Linked DNA regions of Coturnix japonica. The protein of the gene in region 1 interacts with the protein of each later gene in a biochemical or structural test. Links are inferred from orthologs where the notes say so. Each region holds a gene or a part of one and is shown in the gene's direction. Other genes may lie near its edges.

Region 1 (6,643 bases):
TCTTTCAGGTCATTGTAGAGTGTGATAAGGTCTCCCCTGAGCCTCCTCTTCTCCAGACTAAACAATCCCAGTTCTCTCAGCCACTCCTCATAAGACTTTGGCTCTACTACTGCAAAACACAAGCACTACAACCTTGAAACTTAAAAGCTTTTTCCTTAAGAACAAACAAACAAACAAGCAGCACAGCTCTATCATACAGTCTTCCAGCAGTACATCAAACCCTACCCTGTGCCCTCCTGGATCCCTACCAGCCTGGCTCCTGTGCATACACTGTCCTCAGTCAAGCTCAGGTCCAGTGTTCTGTTCCTTCACAAGTGCCTTGGTGTGGTTCCTGCTCTCATCTGGAAAGCTGCTGTTATCATGAAGATGACAAACACCTATGATTTGGTAGTTGGTAAGAAAAAGGTATAATGCCACTATAGGGAAGAAAGGGAAATTAACAGTGTGATCACCTACAAGTGCCAGGGATAAGAAAAGTCAGCCACCTTTCACTTTAGTTAGTTGTATCATGAGTTTGGTAGCAGCTGTATGGACAGTTCTAATCAGACATTTTGACAAGAAGTATTAGGTGGAAAACTAAATGTGATCTCAATCCTCAGCAGTTAATGCTGGCTACACTTGCTCAAATACTGAAATGACACATGGCTAGATGCAATCCATGTGGTGACAGCATTGCCAGCTCAAGTGCAAAAACATGGCAGTAAGTAAGAACGGGAAGTCACTGTCATTCTACTACCGTGCAGTGAATAAAAATAGATCTATAGGCCCTGTCCATCGCTTGTATGCTAGCACACAGTCAGAGGCCACAGCAGCTAGTGCAAAACTTATGCAACAGAATGTTGTTTGCTGTGTAAAAATAGGAAATATTTATAGAGAAACTCCAGCCTATCATAAGACGGTGTGGTTAGCCACAGGCTGCTGAAGTCTGAAATATGATAGCTTGGTATAAAAGACTCGAGAAGGGAGCAATAAAACTGTCTGAAGCCTAAAGTTTCTAAACTCTGTGAAGGCAGCAAAATTCCAGCCACACGGCACAGATGGACTGGATAACTCCTGAGACTGTTCAGAGAAGCTGCAAAGGAGGTCATGCTGGGAAAGGAGACTGCCTGTCTGCTTCTGCTCATCAGATGTGGATGGAGATATCAGCCTGGACAAACCCTGTCTAGCTCAATCTTTGGTGGCATAAAACTTTCTCTTTCTTTGAAACATACTTTTTTTTCTTTTTCCATCCAACTATTTGGTAGAGAACAGTGCAAGGATAAGCAATGTGCATAAAAGAAAGAACTGGCAGTACCGAAGCAGCCCCATGTTCTCAAACTCACTAAAAATAACTACACATAACTAATATCTGCATTTGTTTTTAGCACAGAAATTCCTGCACTTACCAGCTGAATTTTCTACGTTGTCATCTTTCCCAGGTGAATCAGAATCAACAGGGAGAAGGCTAGAAATCTAGGGCAATGGTAAGGTTTTTAGCTTCATCAGGGAAGTGACAGATCCTCAGGAACAGTCACCCATTCTGGGCATCCAGCACCTTCTCCCCCTGCCCGTTCTGCCCTTCCTTTACCATCTTCCAAGCCACAAAAGCTGTTCCCATGCATCCCATTTTTCTGATTCTTTTGTCCCTGCAAACATCATCCCACTATCATTAAGTGACAAAATGCCTCACTGCCCATGAAACTTGACCATCTCCAGACAGACCAGCTGGCGCAAATCTGTTTGGTGTGAGCACTCCTGTTGCATCTTCATTCTGATCACCCCCCTCACCATAAACCAGCAGTCAGCACCTTTAGCTGTTTACGAGGCTGAACAGTGATAGGACAAGGGGGAAATGGTCTTAAACTGAGACAGGGGAGGTTTAGGTTGGATATTAGGAGGAAGTTTTTCACACAGAGGGTGGTGACGCACTGGAACAGGTTGCCCAAGGAGGCTGTGGATGCCCCATCCCTGGAGGCATTCAAGGCCAGGCTGGATGTGGCTCTGGACAGCCTGGGCTGGTGGTCGGTGACCCTGCACATAGCAGGGGGTTGAAACTGGATGATCTTTGTGGTCCTTTTCAAGCCAGGCCATTCTATGGTTCTATGAGCACTTCTTTCTTCAAGGCAGACTAAAAGATGGGTATTGTGGCCCTTTTCAAGCCAGGACATCCTATGGTTCTATGAGCACTTCTTTCTTCAAGGCATCTGTGAGCATCCTGCCGAGATAACTTAGTTTGGAAGCTCCGCAGATCCAAAAGAGGAGGAAAAAGCACAACACCAAAGGAAGATGAGAAGCGCAGCCCCACGAGAGCCCTTTTCAGACAGCGTTCGGAGCATTATTTGTGCCCGTAACAGGCACCAAGCCCCTCCTCTCTATATCCCTCGACACCCAGCGATGCCCCATCACTATCGACGCCTCACACTGAAGAGACGAGCGCTCAACCAACCCCAACTTGGCGCCTCCCAACCAGCACTTCCGGCCGCGGCCCCGCCCAGCTCTAACCCCGCCCCCCTCGCGCTGCCATTGGCTCAACCCTCCCTCCGCGTGACAGCGGCGCGGCCGCCGATTGGTCGAGCGGCTCGGGGGGGCGAGTGGGCGGGGCATCTGTCTCCATGGAGACAGCGCAGGGCCGGCAGGAAACCGCCGCTCCCGGGAGTCACGTGCCTCTAACGCGCTCTCCCATTGGCCGGCGCCTCAGGGCGGGGGTAGGCGGCGGGGAGAGCCACGTGACTCCGTCCTCCCCGCTCTGTCTCCCGCCGCCCGGTTGGCTGTTGCCGTGGCGACCGGGGAAGGAGGGGGCGGGGCGGGCGCCCCACCTCAGCCGCGCCGCGGCCGGCAGCACCCGGCGGGAGCGGCGGGGAACGGGACGGGAGGGGGCGGCTCATGGCGGGGGGGTGAGGGTCGGGCGGCAGGTGAGGGTCGGGCGGCGGCTGGAGGGCGGAACGAGGCTCGCCGGGAGGATGCGGGAGTACAAGGTGGTGGTGCTGGGCTCGGGAGGGGTGGGGAAGTCCGCCCTCACGGTGCAGTTCGTCACCGGCACGTTCATCGAGAAGTACGACCCCACCATCGAGGACTTCTACCGCAAGGAGATCGAGGTGGACTCGTCCCCGTCCGTGCTGGAGATCCTGGACACGGCGGGCACCGAGCAGTTCGCCTCCATGCGGGACCTCTACATCAAGAACGGGCAGGGCTTCATCCTGGTCTACAGCCTGGTCAACCAGCAGAGCTTCCAGGACATCCGCCCCATGCGCGACCAGATCATCCGCGTCAAGAGGTGCCGTGTCCCCGCGGGGCCGGGGCGGGGGTCGGGGGCCTCCGTGCTCCCCGCGGCCGGGGTGTGGGGGGGAGCCGCCCGCAGGCGGGGCCCGAGCTCTCCTCGCTTCCCCGCGGCCGCCGAGCCGGGTGTGGGCATCGGGCTGGAAGCACAACGAGGGAATGCACGTACCAGCACGGCGCTGCCGCTGTACGAGGGGGAGGGAGCCGGCAGCCCTTGTAGAATGGGCCACCAGCACGGCTTGCACGGTCCGGAACACGGTGTAGAGCCGTGGTGAAAGTGGGCAGGCAGGGCCCAGGCCTTCGGGAGGGCTGCAACTTTCTGCTTCCCTGATACGTGCCTTAACTTTTTTCGTAGGGGGTATCAAGGCTGATGTAACGCGTTTTTCTGTGTTGAGTTCAAAATAACTTGGTTTTCTTTACCTTTGCGATTCTCGCCGTGCATGCAAACGTTATAGAAGAAGAGGTTTTTCTGCAAGTAGTGAAGGTAGGAGTTATGCGCTCGTTAGCCTTTGGTTCCCCCGTGCTTTGTCAGTCTGAGTGCTGTGGCTCTGCCTGTGCTCAGACCCGAACTGACATCTCTAGATGCTGAAACAGAATAGAAAGTGACTGCCACTTCCATGCTTACATTGACTCAGCACTGCTTGGGTAGGTCTGAATGCCACTCTTGTTCTTCTTCTGTTGTGTCTTGTGTCACAAGGCTTCAACTTCTGGCTTGCAGAGAGGTTCCTGATGAAAGATTCACCAGCAACGCTTTAATTCTATATTTCCTGTATGCAAAGTAACCAAAAAGCAGCTGAAATCGTGGTTCTAGCCAGTCCTGATGCTTGTAAGTGAGCTGCAGTTGAAAGGCAGATGCTGTTGACTTGCTGAAAGCACATCTTCCAATTCACTTTTTAACATTGAAAGTGTACCAGATGCTCCCTAGCCAACGTACCTCACGGTTTGTTGTTGTTCTGTTTCAGAGGTTGCTGGAGCTAGCAGGCAATGTATAAGATGTGTTGTACTGTCAGTTTAACCAGTAACAGGGGTGCAAGCTGAACTGGAAGAATGCGTATTCAAAGATATGCACCTGTGCAAGTAGTTGTTATATATGAAATGCAGCTGCACAAAGGCATTTAATCCTTACTGAAGGGCAGGTAATCACAGTCTGATTTACCCAGGGATTCTGCAGGATGCGTACCTAGAAAAACCAAGTGTTTGCTTATATTGATACAAAACCATCGCTGAGTTATCAACGTACCTGAGAACGGCTCAGTGAGGTCTCGTAACCTGTGCGTATCTTTATATTTTACATGTTGTCCCTGCTCTTGTTTTCTGATGAAGGTACCCTTGTATTCTTATATAAGCAGAGTTGCTTTTCATGTAAAGTAGAAAAGCCAGGTGAAATTTCCTCTTCAAGTTGAGATACAGGCTTCAATTTTCTGCCTCCCTGGTCTAACCACATACCAGACCAAAGTAAGCGAAGGAAGGCCTTCATTCCACCTGATGAAGTTGTTTTATGTTAGAGGAATGAATAATGTGTTTACAGGGCCAGCAGGGAGAGGAAGATGTAGACCTTCACTCAACTCTGAAGCGAATGGTTAGAAGCAGTTAAGGTAGCTGTTGCCTCTATGGTTTCTGCTGAATGGCTATTTAATGTTAAAAAACAATGCATTAATAGGCCTGAACAGGTCTGAAATCCAGGTCTCCCAGTTTCCAGAGAAGTCTCCTAATGGTATAACTAAAAGTCTAGCTTTTTTTGTACTGCTTAGTGTGGGAGCCCTGCATCCCTTTCAGGTGTGGTGCACAGCTTTAGCAAGAAGAGTGGAGGGTGTCTCCATAGCCTTTAACAGGTAATTAAAGTCCTTTAGTGCGAAATTTTGGTTTAAGTCTAAACTGCCTTTTCCAAATAAACATATTTTTGTCTAGATCTTCCTGGGGATGAATCAAAGCACTACCTTCAGTGCCGAAGTCCTGTCAGTGCTGAGTGGATGGATGCACTGCCAGCCCTTTCTGACCAGACATAAGATGAGTAGAAGGGAAAGGATTTAGAAGTGCTTCCTGTGCTGTAGGATGGGGTTTTCCATAACTAAGCATACCACCAGTGTGGGATGGAAGACTGTGGTGGTACAGGATCAAAGCTTTACAGAATCAAGTCTTCCTCCTTTAGGTGCTGCTTCTTACAGGAGTTCCTACCCAACAAGTGACTTGGCCATAGCTTGTGATGTACAAAGCAATCACGTTTGCAGTGAGCTGTCCTTGCAGTGCTGCCAGCCAGCCATGCTTATCTGGAGATATGCTTCAGCACAAGTACATGGGGAGAAAGAAACTGTTGAAAAAGTGAAGCAGTGGCAGCCTTGTTTTGCTTGTTGAGGAATGTAATCAGAAAAGGAGAGTGAAAGATGTGTGGTGGCTCAGTGTGAGGCGTCGGGTTGTACGCGGTGAGTCAAAGGCATAAGGTTGCTGTCTGGATTTGGGAACTTGAGGGCACTTCTGTGCTTGTTTGAAGCAGTTATCACCGGTGATGATAGATAAGCTTAGTTTGGGAACTCCTACTCGCAATGCAATTTGAAATGCGTTGTTCAAACCCCACGTGTTCAGGCACCTAATACCAGCTTCTGGATCCTGCTTGCGCCAAATCTGTATCTTAAACCTTGGCTCTTCCAATTCTTGAAGATGAGTACTTCCGAATGCTGAGAGGTGGTAGCGTTAGGAAGATGAGATGTACCCCAGCATATTTTTCATGTGGTAGCTTACTATGTCCATTTTTACTAGAACCTCGTGAAATAGAAAAGTGTTCTCATTTCTGTTCAAGCAGAAACTAAAGCACAGAAATAACCATCTTACCCATTCAGTTTGCTGTTCTTCTATTGCTGTAGTTTCTCTAGACATCTGACCGGTGTTATGAAGACAGGACTGTTGTGTTTGTGTCTTGCAGAATCTACTAGATAATACTTGTAGCAATACTCTTGGGAAATGCTTTGTTTCAAGTAGTGGGAAAACAAGTAAATATTAAATTTTAATTAATCTACTGCTTTCTTCTCTAGGAAACAAAGACCAGAAAACATTAATTTAGGTTGACTGAAAACGCGGGCTGAACGGTGTAGGTATATTAAGAAAAAACATCACAAGGACGTGTCTAAACTGAATGTTCTTTGTGGCAATGTTCACCATCAGGATGAAAATCTGCCTCCTGGTCTAGAGATTCTGTGTGGCAATTTCAAGCATATGAGAGAAGTGATTATTGAAATCTATTAATTGTGAAATCAGCATCTTGAGTCAATGATAATTGATGTACTTAAGTGACTTAATGGTGATTAAGTCTGGAAAACTATACTTGGAATTACAAATTGCTCAAATGTCTAGTTGAAAAATGTTGTTTTCCAAATGCTTTAAAGATTAAATGCTT
Region 2 (6,034 bases), on another chromosome or scaffold:
TAATAGGGTTTTCTGTTTTATTTTTCTTTAAGCTGTTCAAGACAACTATGGAGTAAACCAGTTTGGTGTAGTATAGAAAGTTGTCCAACACAGATCACATAGAAATAACAAAGGTTCTTTCAATTACGTGCCAGGAAGATCCAAGTAAGCTAAATAGCCTTTGAGGTCTTGTGTAGCTGATTTGATTCCTCTTAAGAAGGTGAAACAGTGCGTCTGTAATAAATAGGAAATCCGACATCTGTCCACTGAGGTTCTGATGGTGTAAATCATTAGGATACTGATATATGTGCAGATTTCACATATTTACAGGAGGTCATTGCTGAAATTGTTCCATAAGTATTTTTCCTTGATACATGAAAATCAGACTTGCTCACTGAACATGTACTTAGTGAAGCCAGTACTACTGAAAACTTGTATGCAAATTTAAGTCATTTATTGTAGCCAAATAATACAAAATTGAGATTGATGTGCTAAAAATCTCTAAAAAAATGGATTAAAACAAAGGTTGATTCTATTACGCCTGAAACTTGTACCGTTTCTCATAATTTTCAAATTCTATTTTCTTGAAGATTTAGCTGAATTACATAATATTTTACAATTTACAATTTACAAATACAGCAATCTGATGTAAGACCTGTTCTTTGTACCTCATCTAGACTCATCAGCATGAACTGAAAAGTGGTGGATCAGAAATAGTTGTCACCAACAAGAACAAGAGAGACTACATTCAGTAAGTAGTGGTCCCTGTGTAAGTTGTCTCCCTGGGTAGCCACTCTAAGAATCAAGCCTATGTTGGCTGTATTAACAAAAGAAAGTTGCTACTGTGTATAGATTGGTTTTCATTTAAATATTCTCTTTTTTCCCACAGTCTTGTAATTCAGTGGAGATTTGTGAGCAGAGTACAGAAACAAATGGCAGCCTTTAAAGAGGTATAATTTTAAATACAAAAGATTCGTAGAATTTGTTGCATCCAGTCTTAAGACAGGCTTTTTAGAATGTGACATCCTAAAGACCTGTTGTAGTATTGTTACAAGTATAAGAAAGGCAGTGGCACTTTGTAATGTCAGCTTTGAATTTTCTCTGTCTCAAATTGTTTTAGTAAATTTTTACTGAGGTGGTAAATTCATATTGGAAAATTTGCATATTTCTCAATCCTGGCTGACAGCTGTAGCTGTAATGCAAATTACTGACTGAATTCTGCATAAATGAAAATGGAATCAGACTAAAAGAATTAAATGAAACTAGCTAGTTCATCCTTATTTGTGTGAGTGATATTACTTACACAGTGATCAGAGTTGGTAATTCGGTACAGCATGGTAAAGAAACATGGAATAAGTCAGAATTGAAGGAATTAATCAGTGAATAGCTGAAGATCAAGGAGCTGTATTTGATATATCGCTTAGGCTCTGTTTTCTATAGGTATCATTGTTTGTAAATGAAAACGCATAAATAATATTGTCTTGATTTTTAAAACTTCTGTTTTTAGGGCTTTTTTGAACTAATACCTCAGGATCTGATTAAGATTTTTGATGAAAATGAGCTGGAGGTAAGCATATTGTAGAAAAGAAAACAAATTACAATGAAACTTTTTATTACAGAATTAAACTTTGCTTGTTTTTTTTTCATGCATATAGTTACTGATGTGTGGACTGGGGGATGTGGATGTAGCTGATTGGAAACTACATACGAAGTACAAAAATGGCTACAATGTCAATCATCAAGTCATACAGTGGTTTTGGAAGGTATTACCAGATTTTTATTTTCACTTAAAAAAGCCTGTTCAAAAGATGCTCCATTTCAGCTATGCCAGTTCAGCACGTAGTTGATTCATCAGTAATTGGGTAAATAATTGTATGTTGAAAATCCTGAGAAAGACGATAAGCAAACTGAATGAGATGCATGGTAAGAGTGTAACAGACTGCTGGTAACTTGCCTATAAAAAACAACAACAACTAAAACAAACCTGTTTGGGTTTAAATATTACTGTGTAGCTTTCTGTTACATAGTTAAACTGAAAAGGTTAAAATCTTCCATCTAATAAAATAGCGGAATTTGGCTGCTAATTGATAGCATCAGGGAACTTCAAAGACAGTAGGGGTGGAAAGTCTGTTGCATAATTCTACTAGCTTAAAACCTTAATTAAAAACCTTTCAGCTAAGTCCTTAATTGTAATTATTATCATACACAGGCAGTCTTAATGATGGACTCTGAAAAGAGAATAAGATTACTGCAGTTTGTTACTGGCACATCGCGTGTACCTATGAATGGGTTTGCTGAGCTTTATGGTGAGTGCATAAGATTGTATTCACAATTAACTGAGAAAACGATATTTTAATGATATTTGACTTTAAACATGGGGTTGGTTTTTTTTTGTTTTTTTTTTTTCTATTTCTGTTTTAAAATAAGTTCTGAAGAGCTTCAAAGATCTCTGTTTAACACCTCGGTGAGCTTGAAGAAAATTCTGTTGTATAAGATAATGTTACAAAGACATGCTTGTATCAGTAGTTAACTTCAGATTCTCATGAGTTCTGTAACTGCCTTCATCTGCCCCCAAGCCACACCTACACAAATAGAATTGTTTGTAAGGATATCCACTCTGAAGTGGACCACTGAAATGATGTGAGTTAAACATGAGCCAAGAGAAGTAGCAAACCCACAGCAGGGAGACTGAAGCAAGCAGATGGCAGTGGGAGGCAGGCTGCAGTGCTAAAATGAGATGTCCCTTTGTGGAAAGTCTGTGGGCAAGCAGATAGGACGGCCCATGAAGGGTAGGGATGCTTGTGAGAAATCTGTTTTCAGCTGCCATCAGCTATTGAGTTTTCTGCTAGACTGCTTCATTAAGGCTGAACTGCAAGTGCAAGTGACTGAACAGTCTAACTTGTATATTTAAATTAACATTTCCTTCTTTGTAAACAACACAGTGATTTGTGTATAAAACAATAGGATTATCAACAAATACCAACCACTCTGTGTCCTGGTTTTCTCCTCTCTTCATTTTCATTGTGAATACTTGCTTCATTATTTTTTTCCATTCCATCACTGAAGGGGTTGTGAGTACCAAGGAGAAAAATGATGTGTGCAGCATTGCTGAGCCAGGTGTCTGCTCTCACACCTGATCCATGGGCACTGCTTTGGAGCTGCAGCACTTGGAACTTGATAGGAATTCTGTTGCCTCTGGAAGTGTTTTTAGACAAATAAAATCCTGTAAGGAAGGGAAGAATCTGTTGGATCTCTTAACCACTTTCTGCTCAGGGATTTATATCCTTGGGCAGCCTTCTGGACAAGTTACAGTTTTGACATTTCCGTTCAGTGAGCACAGTGCTTTGGTTCTTCCTTTTACAGTCGTTTCTTCTTCGCTGTGGCCAGCGTGCCATCCTCGCTAAATCCCAGTAATGGTCTGAGTCACACTCGTACCTGCTTGTATTTGAAGGACTGTCGGTGCTTTCCATGCCCTACGCCTGGGTTGCTTTCGTTCTTGGGGCTCGCTTCCTAGCGGCACATCTCCCTCTTGTGGCCACGCCGGGAATTTCTGTTCATTAAAAAGAATGCGGTGTGAATCGAGCAACGCTTGAGAGCAGATGCACAAAACAGCTGAGATTTCTTCTGTTTCTTGTCTTCCCCCAGCCTTGCTTTGTAAGCCTCTAGTTCAGTAGTTGAGTGGCTAAAATACAGGCTTATTCACACCTGGCTGTGAAAAGAGAGTCTTTTATTTTCATGTCACGTGGCAGAAAGCATTCTCAATTGTAGAGCTACTTCTCTGATTCATCCTTCTTCCTGGCATTCTTTCTAGTCGCCTTCTCTAAGCTTGGGAGGTTCCTATTAGTATTGATGGTCTCCTTGTAGAAGTGAGAGGACACCCACCATCGTAGGTCATCTCTTGTTCTCTGACAAAATAGTGATTCTGTCTTTTTGACATGCAGACAAATGCTTTCCACAGCTTAAGGAAATGGTTACTGTATGGGAAATTGGTAATCACAGCCTGAAGCTCTGATTAATCAGCTGAGGCAAGTGTTGGGTCAGCTGTGGGACCACAGGTGAGGGTAGTTTAGCTGTGCTCCCGGAAGGGGTGGAGCTTCACTCCACCTCCTCTAGACCTCATTCAAGGGCTGACCACCACTAAGGCAGCATCTCTTGGAGATTGCTCCTCAGTGGAGATTGCCTCAGTGGTTTCTAGCAGACTGAAGGCTTCCATACAGTTGAGTGTTTCCTGTAAATAACCTTTTGGATATTTACTACCATCTTTTCATTATTGTCACTGTGCAGTTACAAAAGGCCTTTCCCATCCACGTGGGACGAGTTGATTAGATTTAAAAACCTTTCAGATGTCTCATACTGTAAAAGAGTTGTTGAAGACTCAGGTGTAGCTGGAGCTGCAGTTGCTAACCAACAGTTCTCTCAGGTGTGTGTGTTCATTACGTGAGGTCTCTAGAGCTGCACACAAGGTTGCTGTATTTCAGAAAGTTTTCAGTTACTCTGCTCTGCTGTTGCCCAGGTAAAGGGACACGTTGACTAATTTCTGATAGGTCCACGTTGCCACATGGCACATTGTGAAAAGTATGTCTAAATTTTTACACAGAAAACACGCAGCATAAAACTGTCTTCCACATGAAGTGTTCAATGCCATTTGCTATGCATGCATGTTTAGGTCTGAGACTTCTGACTTTAAGGTGTGTAAAAGCCTTTTGAAATTAAGATGTACCAAGAAATACTTGAAGTAAATTCAAATTATCGACAATTATTGTGTTTACTGTATTTAATTCATGCAAAAGGCTCCTTCTAAATCTGATGTCAGATTTAGATAGTCTGATAGTCAGAATCTGATGACAAAAGAACAATGTATTTCATAATTTGAAATGATAGTGAAAAGAATCATGTGATCAGGTGAAAACTGAAGTGCTCTTCCCTACAGGTTCAAATGGACCACAGTTGTTTACAGTTGAACAGTGGGGCACCCCTGAAAAACTGCCAAGAGCTCATACCTGGTGAGTATTTAGTTTAGGTAAACTGTGTCCTTGAGTTAATGAAGAAATACTTACGAATTTTCATCTGTTTTTCAGCTTTAATCGCTTGGATTTGCCTCCGTATGATTCATTTGAAGATTTATGGGATAAACTTCTTCTAGCGATTGAAAATACTCAGGGCTTTGATGGGGTTGATTAAGCCACAGACATAAATTGTAACGGTCCAGTGCTGCAACTTCATTTCAAGGGTTTACAGATTTGAATTTTCCAGGGACTACCATTTTACTTAGTCACACGAGTATTCAATCTTCATAGTATCACTTGTAAAATAAGTATTAAAAATTCACTAACTTTTGAAAACATATTTTGCCATTTCCACAGTTTTGTATACTTTGATAATTACTACAATATACACGTTGGATGGGCCAGTGCCAAGTAAGTCAACAGCTAAAATGTTTTTAAGCAGTTGCTTCTTCTTACAGTATTTGACAGACTGTCCTGCAGTAAACTACTGAAGTAAAACTGTGAAGAAATCTTTGCAGAGGATGTACATTTGAATTGCTGCTTTGAGAGAAACGACTGAAATTGTTAGCGAGTTAAAAATATGTACTTCATGTAATGCAATATCATCTGTGCTGCTTCAGGCTATTTGCTACAGACCTGCCCAAAGCACCTTATAATTCAGCATATTAGGTAAAACGTTGCAGAGCATTTGTTGGTGTTACCAGCTCTCAGTTTGCAGAACATTGACTTGCTTACAGGTTTTTTATTTTATAATTTCTGTTTCTAACTTGCTTTTGTTAAGACAGTGTAACGACACCAGGACTTTTTATAAGACACAAGCAGCAGCATTCTGAATAGTACTGAGAAATTATTATATCTTTTTTTTTTATTTTGGTCAGAATTTGTATACTGTTGTTGGTTTATTGAGTGTTCACTTTTTTTGATAAATTTGTAGTTCAACAATGGATAATGTTTTCAATTCAGCCTTTTTGCAACAAGTTAATCTTAAAGCGACATTTGTATGAGTATCACGGAGTATTGGTTACTGGTAGTTAGAGGCCTTTATTATC
Region 3 (6,034 bases), on another chromosome or scaffold:
CATCTGGCTTTTGAACCCATGCAAATACAGAGCTTCAATGGGAAACTCCAGCTCAAGCAATTCCCTTTTGGGTTGGGGATGTGCCATGGAAAGGTCCGTGCTGCACTGTGCCCACTTACAGAACTCAAGTTCTGCGTTGCAGCGCTGAAGGGGAGCCAAGCAAGGCAGCCATCCTGAGCTTTCAACCAGCTGTTGCTGAGGGAGCATCAGTTAAAGCTCTTTAAGCAGTTTTGTCTCTTCCACGTGTGTTGAAATTAATACCTTTTTCCACTAACAGTTCATTATTTTGTGTCTTTGGAAGCCAGCACTCTAACCCAGGGCCACGTGGGAGCGGAGCTCTTAAGACCTGGTAATTGTGGGGATAATGGTGTGCGATGCACAGGAACGTGGTCATGCTCACACTTAATCCTGCTCTGTGCTCCTGTCTTTCCAAAATCACGTCTGTGACTCATCTCCAAGGCTCTCCAGAACATGGTTTCCTAGCCACTATGTTCTTTGCTGTTTGGGTTTGGTGTTTCCCCCCATTGGGCTGATGCAGGCAGGCTCCTGCTGCTCCATTCCTCGTTGCTTGCACCGCAGCCCCTCCTCCAGGCTCTCAAACCTTGCCTGAATCCTCTTGCTCGTTATTAAACCCCTGTGTGCAGACGTGGGCTCAGCGCCGCGCTGTGTACCAGAACACGCGCCCGAGAGCGGAAGAGTTTATTGCACGGAGCAGGAATTCCTCCCCGCTGCAGTCAGCACAGCTTTGAACCGAGGGCCAGAGCTCAGCGTTGCTCACACAGCCCAGGGCAAAACACAGCTCCGAGGAGCTGGAAAAGCAGGCGGGCCATCTGGTGCGGCCGCCAGTTCATATTTCAGGGGGTGAACTCCCACAGCGTTCACTTATGGCTTTTGCAAAAGTCTCCATGCAGAACTGCTTGCTTGATTCCCCACCAGGTTAAACAAGAGCGGGGTTTTCTTGCTCTGCCTCCATTGGAATGGCTGGATGTTCAGGGCTGCTGAGCTGTAGATGTGGTGGCTGAGTGATTGTTTTTGCTGCGTTCCTGTTTCTTTTTGTGCTTTGGATCTCATTTTACACTGCATTCAGCCCCTTCTACATGAGCGTGGTAGAAGGCACAAATCTCAGAGCGGTCAGTAGAAGTGGAAGGGGCTGCTCACCCATATCAATGCTGAGTGCTTTAGGTGGAGCTGCTCATGAGGGAGGGTTTGCATTGAAGGCCGTGTCCTACAAAGCAGAGATGTGAGCTTGCTGAGGTGTGCTGCACAGCCTAGGCCTCGCTGTTGCTTTTTGCTCGGTTGCTTTTTAACGCACACGTGCAGAATGCACAATCAGCATCTTGGAGAAAGAGCGGTAGGAAAGAGGAAGCTCACGCTGAATATAAATAACCAGATTTTAGAATGTAGCAGTGTAGCAGCTCGCCCAGCTCTTGGCGTGAGCCAAACTGGAGACTGCTGGGAGCCGCGTGCTGTGCGTGTGGTTTGCAAAGGGGGAACTTTGGGGGATATCACAGGAGTCAGCAAACAAAGAAATGAATGAATCTTGACAGTCTTGAATATGGGAAGGAAATGAAATTCGCCTCTACACGCATCAGAATCGGGTGTGCTTTTTCTGCACGTGACGTGAAATACAAGAGGTGGAAGCCCTCGCAGTTGTGGCAATAATTTCCACTGTAGTTGCACAGCAGCTGCCAATGATTCATGCATTGATCTCGGGACATTTCGTCCTCTCACATGATTTGATTTCTTAACTAATTTGACTGCACCTCGACGAGCATCTGCTTTTTCTTGGTTCTTTGCGTCCAAGTTTTCCGATGACCTGGTCAAACCTCTGCTCGGATTTTGTTTGGAGCTTTTTGTTCAGCATCTCCTGGACCTACAGCCCTCACATCCATGGGGAGAGGATTAGGAGGAGAGTACTTTGCAAGAAGCTGGGGTGTTCCTGGTGCATGCTGAGTCGTACTGCTCAGTTTAAGCCGTGGTCTGGCTTCAAGGGAAAGACATGGGAAGGAAGTGGCTTAGTGGGCATGGTGGTGATGGTTGGAATAGATGATCCTCGCCATCTTTTCCGAGCACTGTGATTCTATGAAGCGCTGAGACCACCACTGGGAGCAGCATGGGATGGGGCACCTGCTGGTTGCCTTAGTCCTCAGCAAGCTCTGAGCAGTTGCCATTCCTTAGGGGGTTTCAGTGCTCTGCAGACTGCAGGGAAAGCTGCAGGCTGTTGTTGGCAATGGGCTGGCAGTGTTCTGCACTCAGCATGTGGCTGCATCCCCCTGCTAAAGCTCTTACTGCTTCCAGGAGTTCTCCCCATCTGCTGGGCAGTGGGTTTTGCCATGTGCGATGCCCCAAATGGTGTGGGTGGGGGCTGGAGGGAGGGAGCTACAGAAATCCTCTTAGGAGAGTTAGGAGAGGTGCTGACTCAGCAGAGTGTGGTGAGAGGGGGCCAAACTGCATCTGAGGTGGTTTCTATATCCCCAGAACAGAAACATGAGCCTCATGGCAGGGTCTGGTAATGGCCCTGGGTACAACCATCTGTTCATATGTCCCCAAGGGCACCCACCCTATTGCTGCTCTCTGAGTTTTCTTCCACAATTCAGGCTGCCCAGAGAAGTTGAGGACACCCATCTCTGGAGATGTTCAAGGCCAGGCTGGATGGGGCCCTGGGCAGCCTGATCTGGTGCCTTATTTAGTGGTTGGTAACCCTGCCTGAGCCATGGGTGTTGGAGCTGGATGGTCTGTTAGGGCCCATCCAACCCAACCCATTCTACTCTAGGATTTGAGCAACCCCCTTGACTTTCTGCCCAGCATGCTTGGCCAACATTGCCCAAAGCTCATGGATAGCTTCGTTCTCCAGTTGTTATTTGTTATGAGGCTTTGGGTGCTTGAGGTGCTCAGCTGAAGCTAGGGCAGATTACTGAGATTACGGTTAGAGCCAGCAGCAATGTCACCTTATGTCATATAAAGGCACAGGGAGGGAGATAACTGGGGTGTGGGCATGCAGAGTCTTGGCTCTGCTTGGGCGTAGGTGGGTGAACAAATTGTCTTTGGGATACCCCATCCAGGCTTAGGAGAGCATCTGTGCCACATGTTACCCTCCTTATCTCATGGTGTATCTTGTTGTCCCGTGCAGAGCTCCACACAGGAGATTGGAGAAGAGCTGGAGGATGGTGTAATCTACAGCATATCGCTGCGCAAAGTGCAGCTCCATCACACAGCCAACAAGGGGCAGCGATGGCTGGGGGTAAGTGGGGGATTTTCTGCCACACAGAATGACGTGGTGTCAGGGCTCAGCAGTGTCTTTACTGGGCTACATCCTTGTGTCCCCACATGCTCATGTTCTTGGAGCTCCTTCCAAGCACAATCTGAAAATCATGTATTCATTTGGGCAATCCATCTTCATCCACCCCGCTGACTTCTGCTCCTGTCCCAGCAGTTCGAGAACGAGTCAGCCTTAAACCTCTATGAGACGTGTAAGGTGCGGACGATAAAAGCTGGGACCTTGGAGAAGCTGGTGGAGTACCTGGTTTCAGCCTTCAAGGGCAATGATTCCACCTATGTCACCATTTTCCTGTGCACTTACCGGGCCTTTGCCACCACCAAGCAAGTGCTGGACCTGCTGCTTAACAGGTGAGGTGTCCGTGCCCCAAAATGCAGATAGAAGTGGCTGATGTCTGAGCATCCTCAGCCAGGAGAGCTCCAGCATCTTATGTCATGTCTTGGAGGTCTGATGGGCTTCTCCCATCCCCCTCAGGTATGGCAAACTGCACGTGCAGACAAACGGGGACCACGCCAGGCACGTTGTGGATGAGAGGATGGAGCTGAAGAAGTAAGTCTGACCATACTGGGGGTGACTGCTGTTCAGTTCTCGCATGGAGGCATGTGCTGTCCTATATGTTTCTCATGACCTCACCCAGCTCTCCCCTCTGTTCCTTTCCCCATAGCACCATCTCCTCCATCCTGGGCGCCTGGTTGGACCAGTACTCAGAGGACTTCCGTAAACCCCCAGACTTTGCCTGCCTCAAGCAGCTCATCTCCTACGTGCGCCATAACATCCCTGGTTCAGACCTGGAGCGCAGAGCCCGCATCCTCCTGGCCCAGTTTCAGCAGCAGGAGCAGAGCGAGACTGAAGCAGAAGGTGGGGATGGTTCCCTGCTCATGGGGATATCAGGGTCTGTAAGGAGCTTCAGGTGTTACCACGTGGCTGGATGTGGAGGTACACAGGGAAGCTAATCCAGCTGAGATAGAAGTGGGATTTCTAAGTGGATTGGTTAATCTGCCTTTAATCCTCTGCAGACACTTGCATCCGGGTTAAATACGCCTGTGTGTTTATCTGAGCCTTATGCTGAGGTGTGAAAGCAGAGCTGCTGGAGGTGGGATGTGGTGTGGGATGCAGTGGGGTTCTGTGCTGCAGGGCTCAGCTTTGTGCCATCTTCACAGCTGTGGATCACGGTGGCTGCACGTTCCAGCTGGTGGAGGAGAACGGGGTCGGGGATGGGAAGTCAGATTTCCTCTCCTTCTCCCCTGAGATGGTGGCAGAGCAGTTCACACTCATGGATGCTGTGAGTACTCATTCAGCACAGGGTCAGTGCTGCTGCTCTGGGCACAAACCACTGTGTTCCCTCACACACCACTCCATCTTTTCCCCTAAGAGACCCATCCCATCCCTTTATCTTCCAGGAGCTGTTTAAGAAAGTGGTGCCTTACCACTGCTTGGGCTGCATCTGGTCCCAGCGAGACAAGAAAGGCAAAGAACACCTGGCACCCACCATCCGTGCCACTGTCTCGCAGTTCAATAGCGTGGCCAACTGTGTCATTGCCACGTGCCTCGGGGACCGGACCCTGAAGCCACAGCAGAGGGCTAAAGTGGTGGAGAGATGGATCGAAGTGGCTCGGGTAGGACAAGTGCAGCCCCATTCACTTTGCCCAGGGCTGGGGGTTTGTGGTGTACAAATCAAAGCAGATCCCTTGGCTTTGTTTAACATCAAGCCCTGCTGTCCCCTTTATCTGCTTTCAGGAGTGCCGCATCCTGAAGAACTTCTCCTCGCTCAGAGCCATCCTTTCAGCTCTGCAGTGCAACGCTGTGCACCGGCTGAAGAAGACCTGGGATGAGGTCCTGCGGTGAGCAGCACCTGGGGGTCCTGGGGGTGCTGGGTGGTCTCAGGGGGTGGCTGTGCTGGAGCTGTGGCCCTTCAGTGTATAGACAAGAGATGTGTAAATGGGATCATTGCGGCTCTGGCATTGCCCAAAGCCAAGGGATCTGAGGAGAGTGAGGAAACAAAGGCAGTACTGTCTGCTTCTCCTTTCCATCTGAACACCCTGGAATAACCCCAGTCAGCAAGGCCTGCTGCAGCTGTGAGCTTTGCTGGGGTCATTTGGGTGCGCAAGGAAGAGACCCAGTGTGGCACCATTGCTGACTTCCTTGTCTTTCCCCCCGAGCAGGGAGAGCTTCCGCACTTTCCATGAGCTCTCAGAGATCTTCTCCGATGAGAACAACCACTCCTTGAGCCGGGAGCTGCTCATTAAGGTATGGGGCACCTGCAAGTCCTGACAAGGAGCTTGGGCTGGTGTTGGCTGAAAAGGTCCCTGTTGTTCCATCTGCCAGGCAAACTGGGCATTCTGCTTTTCTACCCCAAAAGCTGTCATTGCATGAAGGTCTTAAAGCAGTTGAATGGGTAGAGATAAGCAGTGGGATATGGTCTGGTGCACCTGAGGATGGCCTTTAACCAGATGCAAAGTTCAGCTCTCCATAGGCCTCCTGGGTTAACATGGGGCAGTGGGGTTTGGGAAAGGCTGAAGCCAGGTGTCCTCACAGCTTTCCAGCTCCAGACTGGGGGCTGAGATCACATGAAATACAAAAGGGAACAAAACAGCCCATTGAAGAGCTATTTATACAGAGAGCTGGAAATGGGAGCAGCACTTCCTATTCATTAAGCCTCTCCTCCCTGTTTAGCCCTGAAAAAGCTCAGCTTAGATTTCCTTCTCTTCCCCTCATTCCCTCTGCGAGGAAATGGCAGCAATAAAAGTGGCTGTGAAT

Evidence for each region.
Region 2: the proteins of RAP2A (region 1) and NEDD4 form a complex in vitro, tested with the Homo sapiens proteins (2 studies listed by BioGRID). The link is inferred for Coturnix japonica from reciprocal best matches to the Homo sapiens genes RAP2A and NEDD4.
Region 3: the proteins of RAP2A (region 1) and RALGDS form a complex in vitro, tested with the Homo sapiens proteins (2 studies listed by BioGRID). The link is inferred for Coturnix japonica from reciprocal best matches to the Homo sapiens genes RAP2A and RALGDS.

What each region holds. Positions count from the first base shown.
Region 1 is NC_029516.1:130,772,258-130,778,900, reverse strand, and holds the start of RAP2A (ras-related protein Rap-2a), read left to right. Parts: upstream 1-2,879; 5' UTR 2,880-2,939; coding exon 2,940-3,253; intron 3,254-3,745; exon of another isoform or gene 3,746-6,337; intron 6,338-6,643. UniProt on the Homo sapiens protein: Small GTP-binding protein which cycles between a GDP-bound inactive and a GTP-bound active form. In its active form interacts with and regulates several effectors including MAP4K4, MINK1 and TNIK.
Region 2 is NC_029525.1:6,753,378-6,759,411, forward strand, and holds part of NEDD4 (E3 ubiquitin-protein ligase NEDD4), read left to right. Parts: intron 1-656; coding exon 657-730; intron 731-868; coding exon 869-929; intron 930-1,486; coding exon 1,487-1,546; intron 1,547-1,634; coding exon 1,635-1,742; intron 1,743-2,188; coding exon 2,189-2,285; intron 2,286-4,909; coding exon 4,910-4,982; intron 4,983-5,057; coding exon 5,058-5,160; 3' UTR 5,161-6,034. UniProt on the Homo sapiens protein: E3 ubiquitin-protein ligase which accepts ubiquitin from an E2 ubiquitin-conjugating enzyme in the form of a thioester and then directly transfers the ubiquitin to targeted substrates. Specifically ubiquitinates 'Lys-63' in target proteins.
Region 3 is NC_029532.1:5,338,091-5,344,124, reverse strand, and holds part of RALGDS (ral guanine nucleotide dissociation stimulator), read left to right. Parts: intron 1-3,130; coding exon 3,131-3,241; intron 3,242-3,430; coding exon of another isoform or gene 3,431-3,433; coding exon 3,434-3,627; intron 3,628-3,751; coding exon 3,752-3,826; intron 3,827-3,941; coding exon 3,942-4,135; intron 4,136-4,437; coding exon 4,438-4,559; intron 4,560-4,677; coding exon 4,678-4,893; intron 4,894-5,014; coding exon 5,015-5,118; intron 5,119-5,439; coding exon 5,440-5,524; intron 5,525-6,034. UniProt on the Homo sapiens protein: Functions as a guanine nucleotide exchange factor (GEF) activating either RalA or RalB GTPases and plays an important role in intracellular transport. Interacts and acts as an effector molecule for R-Ras, H-Ras, K-Ras, and Rap.